Oreochromis niloticus: one gene and its partner. The main gene of each other region encodes a partner of the protein of the gene in region 2 in a complex. Links are inferred from orthologs where the notes say so. Each region holds a gene or a part of one and is shown on either strand. Other genes may lie near its edges.

Region 1 (7,967 bases), on a different chromosome or scaffold from region 2:
TATAGATAGACTTTCACATTTACTTCAAAACAATGCAAGAAAACCTAGACCAGCTGTAAGAGAAGCCAGCATTCTCAGAGAGGGAAAATAACCGGCTAAGTCGGCCAATTCACTGAGACCTATTCAGAAACTCGGCCTAAGAATAACAACCAAATCCTACAAATAATCATCTTTTGCTCATGAATGAACCATTCACAGTCAAGTATTCAAGAACATTACCATATACAGTTGTAGAAAAAGTTTGAGGACCCTTGAGGTTTACCAGAATTTCTGCATGAAATATTCATAAAAGGTGTAATCTTCATTGTGTCCCCTTTAGAATCATAAGGTCCAATCTGACACTTTTGTCAAACCTTACTTATTCTAATATTCTTATTCTCTGACAACTTAAAAATAATGCAAGTATTTAATTTTTAACTTTTCAATTGCAACTTTGAAAAAAAAGTGTTTCTGCAAAAGGATTCTTTAACTTTGCATTAAAAGGTGCTATCTACGAGCCAATAAGAACTTGATGACATGTTGAAACCAGAAAGATTTTGATTGGAGAAATGAAATGAGTCTGGTGCTCAGTTGGCTAGCATGAGGGTATTGAAATGTGTTTCTTTTTTTTTTACAATTTCTATTCATTCATTCATTTATTCATTGAAAAGATGCCACTTTTTTAAGCATTGTCTTGTCACAGAATGCATTACATTTGATTTAATCATACTTGTGGAGACTGTTACATTACTAATTGTACATTTTAAAACTAATTATAAGTTAACCATTTATAATTACTTGAAAATCTGATTTCACATGTTGTAAAAAGAACCTAATGTTTCCAAAGAAAAAAAACAGTTGGTAGAATTAAAAGGTTTATCTGCATTTCACTTGTTCAAAAGCTTTATAAATTTGATAGTGTTCAAGACTATAGATTTAAAATACATGTAGGGTGTGTGTCATAATCATATGTGAGTAAGACTTATTCCACATGTAATTTTTGCGATGTGGACTGCAAAAACTTGAAAACATAATATCTCAAAACTGGTTAGAATCCATAAAGAAACGTATAATTCTAAGGGGATGAAACAGCAGTTCATCCCATCAGGGATGACAGAAACTCAAAACAATGCGCATTTTCAGCATTCACACTATAATGTTCCACTAAGGCACACACCGGTAATTTTTAACCTAGACTTTGCTTGCAGAATACCTGCCTTAATGCCTCGCTATCTGACAAATATACTAACAAGGAGGATCCATTAATGTATCAGTCAGAAGAATAATAGCAACACTTTATCGACTTGTGCAACTGAGCTTTTCCATAAAATAAATCTCAGCCAAATGTAATCCACAGTCAGCACCAAGTGGTACAAACAGGAACTGCACTACTCATGTTTAAATTTTTAAACTCTAGTAACATTGCACCACATGGTAAATAGGTGATCAGCTGTTTGAACACTGTCCACTCATAATGCAGATTTGCAATGAGAAGTAAAAAGCAACTTCCACATAATGACATTACAAAATTGTGGTTAAAAAGCATCCTACTGGAGTCTGGACAATCATTAGTGATCAGATATTTTGGGTGTAAGGTTCAGTGGAAATTATGTCTTATCGGGCTATGTGCACATTCTGGTATGTTATCATTGCTGGAAAACCATGTCCTTGAGAAAACAAACCATCTAGGTTATCACTGGATTTCTTCCCAAATTTCCCCTTGCATCAAGAGGAAGCTGAATTAGATAGGAAGACGGATTAGTGTCCCTTTTGTGGAAAAAACTACTGAATGACTAACACAATCATAACAAAGCGTCAGACATCTCAGTTTTCATTATGCTTCTTTTTCATGTCCTGCCATCCCGTTTCTTCCTGTTCCAGCCAACAGAACAGGAGCAATAGCCTTCCCTGTGTCTGCTCTAATGAACAGGATAAAAGGAGTGTCTCCCAAACAACTATCTGCTGCGTGTGTTTACTGTAACGACCTGCCTCCATATCAAACGGGAGCATGTACTGTATCAGTGTATCACTGTGTGAGGGCAGGATTGTTGGCACGACCAAGCGGTGCTTCTTCCTTTTAGCATGACTGACACTGATAACAGCTGCCTTTGACAGCAGACCCATGCCTGCCATATCAACGAGCTATTACTTTGGAAAACTCGGTTGTGCTTTCATTAGCTTTTTGGTGAACAATATCACTGAGGTATACCAGCATCAAGCTCGCTGTTTAAAGCCCAATATCTAATAATATATTCGCCTAATTGTTAATACACCATATTTTCCATAACGAACATCCACTATATTTAAGCGCACGAAAATATAAAGCGAGCAAATCCCTTACAACTTCCCAAACTTTACTTGTTTCTTACTATAATCCTTTCGGTACGTTGCACATTCTATTCATTTATAAGTGACGCCGGCTGGTTGAAAGCACAGTCTATCAGTCCGAGTCGTATTGGGATTGATTCCCCAGTCCGCTGGTCAGCTAACGTAAGCTAAACTTTACTTGATAGTTTGCTACTTATCTTAGCCAGTTACCAGCTCAGCTAGCTTAGCTAATAAGGTAGCAGGTAGTCAATCTGCTATAAAAGTGCGCAAATTGTCCAACTTACCTTTTTTACTTTTTTCACATCATCCTCCATTTCTATGGAAAGATTTTCATCTTCATATTCACTTCAGCTTATAGACCCAGGTGAGACGTGAAGGTTTTAGCCAAGCACTCATCTAAGACCAGTTAGCTTGCTAGCCTAGCTTAGCCAAGCCTAGCATTGGCAAAGTGATGCCCGATTTTGAGCTGATACCAAAACGCCATGCTAATTCTTGTGTAACTCTTCAACCATTAGAAAAAATCCCGGTGCCCCACCATTGTGGAAAAAATGAAGCCGATTTCGTGCAGTTTAAACAGTCAAAGAAATAGTTTGTGAAGAAGACAAACTCCAACAAAACAGTCAAAACTTTTCAACTGTGCCGCCATTTTGGGCGTTTAACTGTAATCCAGGCCCAGCATGCCTTGCTTTGGTTTGCACAAACCAAAACAGGGCAGCTGTTGTGCTTTACAGCTGTCAGTGCTGCCGGCTGATGGGAGAAACCAACTTCACGAACGGAGTAATTTGCAATTAACTGCAGTGAAAAATGAATTATGGAAACACATAATCTCAGCTCAGTTTAGAGGGTGTTTGCGTTTTATATAACTGGTAGGTCTCTTCGTTGTTTTTAATGCTTTACGTTTACTGCTTCATATGTACTCCTCTTTGCCCGGGATTTATTCAATTAAAGTCGAGTTTGAGCCTTCTTTGTCAAAAACAAATCTCGCTGGATTTTTAAACAATACCCCACTGACGTGAAGTCATCAGAGATTAGATTGACTAACAGCTGATGACTCTGAGAGTTTTTAGTTATCCGAATTTTTTAAAATATTCTTCTTTTTTATTGTATTAATTCCACTGGAGAAAAGAGCAATGAAAGTCGGTGGAAACGAGAGAATACATGTGTGTCGATGAGAGGGGCAGTTGCAAAGGTGAATATGCACGAGTAGAGGTGTAGATATGAGTAAATATGAGTAGAGGTAGTTAAGCTGCTTGAGTTTAAATACCAGGGGTCAGCCATTCAAAGCAACAGGCAATGAACAAAATAGGGAAAAATGAGAGTACGGCCATGGTGTAGTGGGTGGAGGTGAGTGTCAGGGGTGATTTGTGACGCAGCTGTAAGACCTGCTATGATGCATGGTTTACAGCCAGTGGCACTGACAGAAAGACAGGAAGCAGAGGTGTAGGTTGCAAAGTTAAAGATGCTAAAGTTTTTGCCGGGAGTGATGAGGAGGAGCAGGATTAGAAAGGATTATATCAGAGGGACAGCTCAATGGTGGTACTTAGGCTCTGTTTTCCCAAACAGGTGAATAAAGCAGGTGAAGGCTATTCTTTGCTGTATTTTTTCTGTGAGGAACTGGTCATCAGTGATTTCTTTCTCTAATTAAATTTCCAGCGGTTTCTTCTCTTAGATCTTTGACCCTCACTGTACAGAATTATGTATGTATTAAGAGTGTTAAACAACTGTAAATCAAACATTTCTGTGTGCACAGAATTAAAGCTGTATACCTGTGCATGAGCTATGACTTCATGCTACAGGCAAATTACACAAGTGTCTGTGAATGGGCTGTCATCGATGGAAACGTCTTGACTCCAGTAGTTTAATATTTACATATTGATCGATTTTGGTTTTTTTTTAAAATGAAACATTTAAAAATGACTGAATTTATTTAGAAACCTAAAGGATTTAGAGAGTTTCTGTGAAGAGGAGTGGGCCAAAATTCCTCCTGAGTGACCAGCTATACAAGAAAAGTCTTACCTCCATCCTTGCCAAAAAGGGTTTCCCCACCAAGTAAGCCATGTTTTGCTTAGCTCCTTATGGGAAACTCAAAGTTGATGTGATTTTGCACAATATAAATAAAATGGAATTGAATTGCTTGGGGATCAAATACTTATTTAACTCAATAACATACAAATCAATTTTTACCTTTTGTGTAATGTGTTTTTTTTTTCTGGAGTGTTAGTTGATATTTTGCGTATCTCCATAAAAATTAAAGACTGTTTTTTTACCAGTTGTCTTTAACAGTCCAAGTTCAAACATGAAGATACACTTACTTGATTTAGTTGCAGTGGATCTGCAAAAGTATTGCATTTTGTCTTGTATTCCGGAGAGCCTGTTATTTTCAGCCCAGTATGAAAAATTGAATTACTGGAATTACCAAACAGTATATTTAAGTAAGGGTTCATTCTCAGGGTTCATTGCCATTGCAGGGTTTAAACAAGCTCAACTAAAGGATGTACATTTCTACTGTGAAGCATTTCTTGAACATACAGTTGTACTTACTGTTACTTACTAATCCCAACCTATGTGGGTCATGTTCAAAAACAGCTTTTCCTTTCTTACCCCAGCTGGTAAAAAAGTGAACCACCACTGTGCAATACCAAATTCTATGTGCAATAACCCAACTGTATATACATAACACTATTTATTACATATAACTTTTTTAAAACCAGCTTGTATATTTGTACATTTTATATATATTTCTTTCCCTCTGTTAATACTGTCCATATGTATATAGTGCTACAGAACTGTGCCCCCCCCCACCCCCAGCATGTTTGCACTGAGTAGGAGACGCTCTGTATCTCATTGTACAACCGTATAGTGACAATATTCTATTCTATTCTAAGTCCGACTGCAGTCACAGTCATCTGACAAAAATGTGAGACATGCATGTGAAGACATTACCGATATATAGTGCACTTTCAAATACTATATTTATTTTTCTCTTCTGGGATGAACAGTCTGATATATGAATCTACAGTAAGGCTTAACATTACATTTTCAGCATAATATTTCTCTTTTCATCTAAAAACCAAAACATACAAAAAAAACTTTAGCACCATATGTTATTAATAATATTCATATTGTTCCCAAAAATAGGGCGTAGGTACAATACTGGACATCAGTTTTGCTTCTTCTTCTTTTTTTTAAAGAATGGGGATTCCATGAAACAATTTACTTACATTTTATATTTAACAACAACAAAGAAATCATTCCTTATATGTACTCAATCACAACATGGGTCGTATGGGTCCACTTTCATAAACATGCTACATTTCGTAGCAAATTTTGAGTACTAACATTGTGCCAACTTTTGGAATACCCCGGATATACCATATAGCCTAGGGAGTATCCTGATAGATTTGTGAAATACACCAACAAGCTAACACAACCTATAAATTGATTGAATATAAACAAAGCAATATTTCCCAACACCTTTGATAACGATTCCAAAAAATCAGCAGCAATTAATATGACAACCATAGTCGCTTCGTTGGAATATCAAATCCATTTTCAAACAAAATATTACAGCCAATTCTACAATAACAACAGAAATAGATACACACAGATTAAGGACATATAGATGACAGGAATTTACAACACAGCAATCACGTTCTATATATATATATTTTACCCAAATTCCAGTAGCAGAAGTACATTTGTGCTCCTGTGTATTTGCTAAAAAGATGCATTTTGTCATCTGCCATTTTCATTCTGTCCGAAAAGAAAAAATCCTAGTGCAGACTGAATTATAGTAAAACAAAAACGTACTGTATGCGGAACCCAGTAGAATAAATCTTATATGAGCAGTAGAGTAACTATTGTTTTTTTTGTTTTTTTGTGCAGACTGGGAAATCAAAATGGCACCACTGAGAGCTGAGTTCTGCTGTAAACTGTGTGGATTTGAGGTGCTGGCTGTAGAGCATTTTGAGACTGCACGTTTGTGATATGCAGGATCTCTCAGTCAACTGGAAGGCTAAAGCCAAAGAGTGGACTCTTAGTCCACAGCGGTAGCACCTTTTTAAATGTATTTATTCAGCACCAGGTTATGAACAAAAACGTAAAGAAGGAACAAAAGTTTTTTTTAAAAAGAGAACGAAAATGCACCGTTTTTTAACATCTGAACATTCTGCCCCTGTGGCCAAACGGATGGTCATGACACAAAGGTATAGACTCGAACCAGGTCAAACACTACAATGGCCTGTTGCTACACATTAATGCAAAAATCAGAGGGTTTCTTGTGCAGTCGAGAGCACTTGCATGCTAAATGCTGAGGGTCACCTCACGATGAGTTATAAAGGCATGCTGGGAGGTGGTAGAAAATCCAGGAAATGAGGTTATTCAAAAGAGAAGCAGTGATTGGGCCTGTTTCGTGATCATTCCATAGTAAGAAGACGTAACAACTGATTTTTTGCGCTTTTTGTCATCAGTTTCTTCCACGTTGTATTCTAAACGCAGGCATTTTTGTTTTGGCTAGAGGACGTATTGTTCACACAAGACACAGAAAACGACACAGAAAGTTTACGCCTTGGCACTACAAATCATTCATAACTGCAAGACAGAAGAAGATGTAAAGGCATAGACGAAAGTACAAAAACAATCATTGGCCAAATCTTTCGGTATCTTGGCTGGTTATCTGCGACCGTGACTCTCCATCAAACACTTCAGAACTAACGATTTTAAACTGACTATTAACTGTTATATTGTTACTCGCCGAATCAGCTGTGGTTGGCGTCATACTCGAAAAGATGAGGAACCCTGGGTTCAAGTACAGAAGATGTTCAGTGTTGCCTTACTTTTTCTCCTGTGTCTTTGACATAACCAATTACTGGGTTTCACACAATACCCATCACTTGATTCTGTCACACATTAAAGTCCAGATGTAACATCATAATGAGGAAACAGCGCAGTCCTCAAGATGACATCTTAGATGAAACTGTAAGACTAAATAGCACTGTCAACGGAGGTGTTAGCTCACAGAATTGGGAACCTGGCTTGATCTGGTTTAGGGGGGGGGAAGGGGTCACAGACAGGAAGAATATTGTTTGGTGTTATCATCTTGGTGGGTGTGCTGGCACATGAAACAAGTAAAGAAAGACATTGGCATTTGTTGTTTGCGGACCTGGCTGCCATGGCTGGTTCGAAGCACCCAAAGTAACAAGGCACAACAAGGACTGAGAAGAGCAAGCTTTGCTGTTCAAATCCTCTTGCTGTGTTTTGTGGCTCTCGGACGATGTGGTGTTTGGAAGGTAACCTAACAGAAACTGTCCTGTGCGAGGGATTTCTCTGTGACCTTGTTTATGGTATAAAGTGTGGCAGCCTGAATGCTACACGAAATAGTATACTTCCTCCTCCCGCTTAAACCTGTGTGTAGCTTAGCTCTTGAGACCCGTGTATAATTGAAAGAAAAATACATAAAATCCGCTTATTATCTGGCTTCTAGCTAATCATTGTTACTAGTTACAGAATGTGACAAAGTGGTGATTGCTCTGTAGAAATATGTAAAATATACTGCATGTTCTATAAAAATCCAGAATTGTACATATAGACTCTTTGTAATTACTTTAACTGTCATTACTAGGGATGCACCAACGTATTGAACACTGGTATCAGTAGCAGCC
Region 2 (7,923 bases):
GCTGACCTCAATAGAGGATATAGTCGCTTCTCAAGCCCACTGACACACCTTCTGTAGTGGAAGCAAACTCTGGGGACAAGGAGGGGTGACTGGCCCATTACTGTGACTGATTTAGTGAAGTAGTCAAAAACTCTTTAGAGGTCGAGCCCCTGGAGTGGATGAAATTTGCCCCGACTTCCTTAAGACTCTGAACTTGTGGCTGTCTTGTTTGACATGCTTCTGCAGCATCACTTGGAAGTTTAGGGCAGTTCTTCTGGCCCTTTGTTGCAGATTCTGTTTATGACTTTTATGGATAGAATTTTTAAGGCATAGCCACATGGCAGAGGGCTTCAGCTATGGCAGTCTCAGGATCACGTCTCCGCTCTTTGCAGATGATGTGGTTTTTCCGTCCTAATCAGGCAGTGATCTCCAGCGTAACATGGGTTGGTTTGCAAGCAAGTGTGAAGTAGCTGGAATGAGAACCAGCACCTCCAGGTCTGAATACATGAACCTCAGCCAGAAAAGGGTGGAGTGCCGACTCCAGGCCAGGGACGAGTTGCTGCCCCAAGTGGAGGCATTTAAGTAACTCGAGGTCTTGTTCGCAAGTGATAGACACACAGATTGGCTCAGTGTCTGTAGTGATCAGGGTGTTTTGGTGAATAGAGGGCTGTGTTTGAAAGCACAGATCTACATTCCTACCCTCACCTATAGTCATGACCTCTGGGTAGTGACCAAAACAAATAATGAGATTGCAGTGGAAATAAACTTCCTGACGCTCTCCCTTATTGAAAAGATGAGGAGCTCAGTGATTTGGGAAGGACTCACATTAGAGCCACTACTCCTCCATATTGATAAAAGCCAGTTGAGGCGGTTTGGGCATCTAACTAGAATTCCTCCAGGTCCCATCCTAGGAAGGTTTTTTTGAGCATGTCCAAACTGGGAGAAGGCTCCAGGGTAGAAAAAGCATACACTGGAGAGATAATGTCTTGGCTGACTTGGAAATGCCTCAGCAGTCCCCCAGATGAACTGGAGTAGGTGACCAGGGAGAGGGAGGCTTAGATGGCTGCCCACGCAACCCGAACCCGGATACACGACAGAAAATGGAACAGAATGGAATGACACACATGCTCGAGGAAGATAAGCTATTAAATTTAGTAAGCACAGCTGTTATATATTCACTATGGAATATGAATTTAAATTTTTTCTCAATTAAAAAGGTGGAAAGCTGGATGGCATTTTCAACCCTGACTGATTAAGACAAGAGGTCACAGACAAGTCCTTTTTTAATGGAAACTTTTAGAAAATATTAGCAACTACAATCTATATTAATTTTCAATTCCCCCCAGCTTTTTATACCGTCAATTTCTTAGACTTTATTCAACTAATTCAGCAAAACAAATAATTTCAAGGACATAGCCTATTCAATAATGATAATAATAATGATAATAATAATAACAATAATAATAATAATAATAATAATAATAATAATAATAACAACAACAATAAAACCGACCCACGTAAATAATTAGAAAAGCTTACATTTCTGTTTTTGGCAGACAGAGCTAAAAAAAAAAAAAATATTTCAAATATATAATCCCGACACATTTTTTCCCTGTCGACTGAACACAGCGCATTATTTACACCTGTCACTACTCTCAGGTGTAGCTCACAACCCTCACCTGTAGTCTCAGCAGGTCAGGTCAGGACCGAGGTTCTCCCGCGTACAGCCGACTGGTCACCGTAGTCTAGCGGCAGGAATGACGCAGTAGGTCCAGCTGTTGTTAACGTCCATTAGTGTCCTCGGTCAGACCAACACACCAAAGAGTGTGAGTGAATGTAAAGGTGCCATCGGCGGGGCTGACCCCCCCAGGTACCAGGGCTTGTCTTCTTTAACGGAAAGTTAGATCACACACACAAACCGATTCTTTCCAGGTTGTAAAAACAAGCACGGTCACATGAGGCAGCTGTAAGCCTCACAGAGAAAATGTTCCGATGGGAAAACCTACATCAAACAGCTCCAGCTGTGGCCCAGAGGCAAACTTTTGCGCCGTTGTAGCCTCGGATCCTTGGAAAACTTAAATTTCCAAAACATCTTTAGAAGTCACACTAAAAATCGATGAATTTAGAAATGTATTCAGAGCCGTGTCCCATTACAGTGTTAAATACGAACAAAAACTGCCAAACCAAAGTGTAACAGTAACCGTATGGCCTGTATGAAATCCATTTGTGGGTAGCAGCTCGCCAGAGGAAAGACCGTACGATTTCCGTGATTCTGATGGCCTCTCTTCCTGCTAAGTTTGCAGATTTCCCTCGACCGTGGTTCCAGGTTTGAATCCAAAATATTCTAGGCAGAAGATGTTTTTATTCTCATTGCTGCATTGCACATAACTGCATCGCATTGCAACGTGAATGATGATATAAACATAATCAGGCAAGAACACACGAAGGCCGATCTGGCCTATAAAAATGTGCAGATGAATTTAATTGAGAGAGCACCGAGCTGAGTTCAGACTTAAAAATAACACAGACTAAAGGGACATTGGCAGAAAAAAGTACTACCTTTGAGTTTATTATATACTTTAACCAGATGCGTTATGTCATGCGAAGCCAAGTAGGATAAAGTCCATCGATGTTTAGACTTCGCAGGGCTGCAGACTCTAAAATTGTAGATCCTGGAGTATTCATATAAACAGCAAACTGATATTTAAAAACAAACAAATAAACAAAAAAAAAAAACATAAATTAGACGAGCTCGGTCTGTTTTCAGCGACAGTAACAAAGATGTCGTTTGTTGAGAGGAGCCAGCGGTCGTCCACAACTTTTCCGAACCAAAACAAAGCAAGAAATAATCTTCAGCTGAATACGTCAAACTTCCTGACAGAAAAAATATCGCCACCGGAACCAGCTTTTATGCTTCCAACAAGTCATGAAAACGGCTCGCAAAGGTTGTATCCATGTTTCCCAGATGCTTCACTGTCCGCCATCCAAACGCTGGTAATAACGATGATTTATTCCCGGGGGGATTTCTGACTCCTAAACTATCTAAATTAGAGCCGTGCAGCCGCGGGGACGCGCTGTTACTCGGTGGAAGTCTTCTTTCTGGAGCGCGCACAATATTATTGGAGGGGCGGACCAGCTGTGACGTCGTGAAGCGTTTGCTGCCGTGAAAAAGAGTTGGAAAATCCGAAATTCACAGCTTTTAACTTAACAGTCCTCATCCGTCTAAGTCATCCAATGTTTTCCTTTAAGAGTGAACAATAACGTGCATTCCCTAATTGAATTTAAATGACACGTTAGAATAATCTAACGTGAAGTATTTGAAGTCAAGTATTTTCATTTTATTTTGGTTTCAGCAGTACTGGACCTGGAGGGAGTGGAATACTTATGTAAAAAGGTCAACGGGTTGTACTTCATTATATCATAGGATTATTGTTGCGCGGCATGTATTTGAAACATTTATTGCGCAGTGTAATGCAACAATTATACAATATATGCAATTTATCTAAAAGAATCAGAAACACGTGTGCGCGCGCACACACACACACACACACACACACACACACACACACACCAGTCAAAGGTTTGGACACACCTTTTCATTTAATTGTTTTTCTTTATTTTCATGACTATTTACACTGTAGATTCTCCCTGAAGGCATCAAAACTACAAATGAGCACATATGGAATTATGCAGTAAACAAAAAAGTGTGAAATAACTCAAAACGTGTTTTATACTATAGATTCTTGAAAATAGCCACCCTTTGCTTTGATTACTGCTTTGGACACTTTTAACATTCTCTCGGTGAGCTTCATGAGATAGTCACCTGAAACGGTTTTCCAACAGTCTTGAAGGAGTTTCCAGAGATGATGAGCAGTTTTTTGCCCTTTTGACTTCACTCTGCGGTCCATCTCGTCTTAAATCATATAATTTGGGTTTAGGTCAAGTGACTGTAGGGGCCAGGCAGCAATCCATCACTCTCTTTCTTGGTCAAATAGCCCTTACCGACCTGGAGCTGTGTTTGGGGTCATTTTCCTGTTGAAAAATAAATGATGGTCCAACTAAATGCAAACCGGATGGGATGGCATGTCGCTGCAGGATGCTGTGGTAGCCATGCTGGTTCAGTGTGTCTTCAATTTTGAATAGATCCCCAACAGTGTTGCCAGCAAAGTCCCCCCACACCACTATATCGCCTCCTCTGTGCTTCACAGTGGGGACCATGCATGTAGAGACCATCCGTTCACCTTTTCTGTGTTGCACAAAGACACTGCGGGTGGAACCAAAGATCTCAGATTTAGACTCATCAGACCAAAGCACAGATTTCCACTGGTTTAATGTCCATTCCTTGTCTTTCTTGGCCCGAACAAATCTCTTTGTTTGTTGCTTTTCCTTAATAGTGGTTTCTTAGCAGCTATTTGACCATAAAGCCCTGATTCGCACAGTCTCCTCTAAACAGTTGATGGAGAGATCTGTCTGCTGCTGGAACTCTGTGTGGCATTTATCTGGTCTGTAACCTGAGGAGCTGTTAACTTGGGATTTCTGAGGCTGGTGACTTGGATGAATTTATTCTCAGCAGCAGAGATGACTCTTAGTCTTCCTTTCCTGGGCTGGTCCTCATGTGAATCAGTTTCATTGTAATGCTTGATGGTTTTTGCCGCTGCACTTGGGGACACATTCAAAGTTTTACCAATTTTCCAGAGTGATTGACCTTCAGTTCTTAAAGTAATGATGGACTATCTCTTCTCTTTACTTAGCTGATTGGTTCTCGCCATAATATGAATTCTAACAGTTGTCAGATAGGGCTGTCAGCTGTGTATTAACCTGACTTCTGCACAACACAACTGACGATCCCAACCCCATTAAGAAGGCAAGAAATTCCACAAATATACCCTGACAAGGCCCACCTGTGAAGTGAAAACCATTTCAGGTGACTACATCATGAAGCTCATTGAGAGGCCAAGAGTTTGCTGTGCTGTCAACAAAGCAAAGGAGTGGCTACTTTCAGGAATCTATAATATAAAACATATTTAGAGTTATTTATGATTTTTTTCTTTGCTACATAATTCCATATATCTTGCTTCATATATTTGAACATTTATATATTCAAAATCTGTGACTCAGCATTTTGAGTCTATTTTGTATTTTTGATTTCTTATATTATATTGAAAATTAAGTTCTTGTGTTGTTGTTATTATTAGTTAGGATTTAGTTGAGTTTTAATCTTGTTTTTGTTTCACCTACATTTCCTGAGTTATGAGTCTTTTTCTGTCCTCTATGTAGTTGTCTTGTCCTTAGTGTTTTACCTTTAGTTATGCCCGTGCTCTCATCTCCTTTATCCATTCTTATGTGTCTCTTCTGGCGTTCCATGTCTCCCTAGCCTGTCATATGTCTTATGTCTGTTGTGTGTTCCATATTGCCAAGCTTGTGCTGTCATGTCTACATCTCTCAATGTTTCCTGTTTTATTTTGAAGAGTCGGGTGTTTCCATGTTCATTGTGTTTTGTCATTATGTTCATTCCAGTCAGCTGTTTTCCCATGTGTTTCCACTTCCCCTGATCACCTCTTGTGTGTATTTAGTCTGTGTGTTTTCGTTCAGTCTTTGTCAGGTTGTCTGTTTTCCTTCCTCCACATCAGGTTTTAAGTGTTTTCCATGATTCTGTTCAGGGCATGTTCATGTTTCAAGTTCACGGTTTTTTTTTTTTGAGGGGTCCTATACCTTCTCTCATGCTCCTGCTCATAATCATGTTCATGTTCTCTTTGGTTATAGCTGTTATAGTCCAGTCTTTTCAGTTTAGGTTTTAGTTTTGTTTTCGCTACTGTTTGTTTTGCTTTGGATTTTGTATTCATGTTTTTCAGCCAAATAAACGGCTCACTTTGTCTTAAACTTAGTTCGTTTTCTCCCGTCTCTGATTTTGGGTCCGTTCCTTTAACACACCGGCTTTGCAGCCGTGACAGTTCTATATTCATAATCAGAATACTTTGTTAATTCCAGATATTTTGTGGTCAAAGTTGCTCCAGTAAGAACAGTAACTAACTAAGCCACATTCAAAAACAAAATATATTACAAAATATTACAAAAAAGCTGTAATATAAATCTAAATGTTGCAGAGGAAGATGGGCAGTACTTTTCACTGCACTGTATTGGAATATAAGTGTAGTGTATCAAGTACTTCAAAGTTGTACTTAAATGTAACCAATTACCTTTTGGATTACTTCCATTACAGCTAAACTTTATTAGATTGAAGTATTTCACCACAAATAAAATGCAAATAAAGACAATGTAAAACTCAGTGTGTTAAATCAACACCAGCATTTTATTTATTTATTTTTTTCCAAAAGCATGTAAAAAAAAATAAAAACAAAAATATGCACAAATGATTGTGTATATTGGCGTAGAAAGAGGGCGCTCACATTTTAAAATGTACCATACTACAACTAAGCAAGAGAGAGGAGGAGGAAGAGAGGAGAAAGACTGCATACAGTCCAAGCATCCTTTTGCTGTAAGGCCACCTCAATCCACAGGTCATGTCTGTAATATAGAATACACTTTCAAAGATGCATACATTTAAAATGTCTTGATGACAACGGCAATAAAAAAGGAATTCCACATCAAGTGTAGCACAGAAATGAAATGATTCACAGATTTAACAATAAAACGTCACACTGCAATCATTCACCTGAGCCTTGTGGCACCAGTGTAAAGTGTACCTTGTCTGCTCTATTAGACTTGGACATTGCAATTCACAGATTTTGCAGTTGTACCTTGGCGAACTGCTAACAGAGAATGACAAACACAGCATTTTTAGATACAATTCTCTTGATTTTTAAAGCATTCTCTGGGATCCAGAGGGCCGTTTTAAAATGACATAAAGAAAACATACATGTTCACACATAGTAGAATTAGAACTTTTGTACATGTGAATAAAGATGGTTAGGTGGGGAAAAATGGCTGCTGGTTGAGTGAAGTAATCCTTTGTTAAAGAGTTGGACTCTACAATAACCAGATCTGTTTTTAAAAAGGCATGATCACAAGATTTTGTTGTAAAGATCTGTGCATTCAAAGGTGTTTTGAAAAAGCAATAAGGTCAGCTCTTTGTCTTCTAAGGCTTCTCTTTAAAAAAAAAAGTCCATCTGTTTTGCTTCCTATTCTGCACAACAAGCTCAAATTAACAGTAAACCTTCAGTCACAGAAAGTACTTTGTGCCATTCAAGTGTCAGTGGTATTTTCTAAAATGTGATGATTTAATGGCTTTGGAGTTATCCTTTGTACAGAATGAAATAAAACCATGGAAATCTACACTGAATTAATTGTTCTTACATGTTAAAACTAAATAAGATCAAAAGAAGCTGTTGGCTCGGCTAGCTGCTGATCCTACTCAAAAACTTGAAAATAAAAGGCTATACTCAAATCATGGGCAAGTTATAGTTTTATCCTCTCATGTGAGATGCTATTGTCACACTTTTCCCAGCAGGGGGTGCTCTGCACTGGCTTTTGCATGCAGCCACACATCAAGGTGCCCATATATGTGACAAACTATCCATCCATCTATTGTAACATTGTAACATTTATATTAAGAAATAGGTCCAGTTGCATTTAGCAAATAAGACAGGAGAACCAGAAGGCATTAACTGAAAAAGGACTCAGGGGTTCAGGACAGAGTGACTGGATGTTTATGTCGCTATAATACAGCTTTTAAAACTTCATCACAAGACAACAACAAGCTGACAAGCATGAAATTATGAAGCAACACACTGTGAGACCTAAGCTCTGTCCATCAACATCCTCATTTATAGCATACATGCAATAATCAATTTATCCAGGTGTTTACAATTCCTCTTAAAATGTGTCATAGGACAGATGGAGGGATGTTTACATACTAAAGCTCAGCTTCCCTGCCATAATTAACCTTTTGTCTGGTGATCGTGTGTAGATATATGTGCATGACAA

Evidence for each region. Proteins that work in one complex are often made in the same cells at the same time.
Region 1: the proteins of map3k3 (region 2) and ccm2 are in contact, whole or in part, in a crystal structure (PDB 4Y5O), measured with the Homo sapiens proteins. The link is inferred for Oreochromis niloticus from reciprocal best matches to the Homo sapiens genes MAP3K3 and CCM2. Residues at the interface, in NP_002392.2 of Homo sapiens: Asp2, Glu3, Gln4, Ala6, Leu7, Ser9, Ile10, Met11, Asn12, Asp13, Leu14, Val15, Ala16, Leu17, Glu50, Asp82, His84, Met86, Asn88, Glu89, Leu90, Ser91, Ile92, Leu93, Arg117, Leu119, Leu121, Ser122, Gln123, Asp124; in NP_113631.1 of Homo sapiens: Leu299, Tyr302, Met303, Leu306, Arg307, Ser312, Gln313, Ile315, Gln316, Gln317, Phe318, Ala319, Ala320, Leu321, Leu322, His323, Glu324, Arg326, Glu333, Ile336, Asn337, Gln340, Leu341, Leu353, Phe356, Pro358.

Annotation. Positions count from the first base shown.
Region 1 is NC_031980.2:8,442,264-8,450,230, forward strand, and holds the start of ccm2 (cerebral cavernous malformations protein 2 homolog), read right to left. Parts: upstream 3,007-7,967; 5' UTR 2,622-3,006; coding exon 2,592-2,621; intron 1-2,591. UniProt on the Homo sapiens protein: Component of the CCM signaling pathway which is a crucial regulator of heart and vessel formation and integrity. May act through the stabilization of endothelial cell junctions. May function as a scaffold protein for MAP2K3-MAP3K3 signaling.
Region 2 is NC_031969.2:28,854,117-28,862,039, reverse strand, and holds the start of map3k3 (mitogen-activated protein kinase kinase kinase 3), read right to left. Parts: upstream 3,076-7,923; 5' UTR 2,539-3,075; intron 2,324-2,538; 5' UTR 1,659-2,323; intron 1-1,658. UniProt on the Homo sapiens protein: Component of a protein kinase signal transduction cascade. Mediates activation of the NF-kappa-B, AP1 and DDIT3 transcriptional regulators.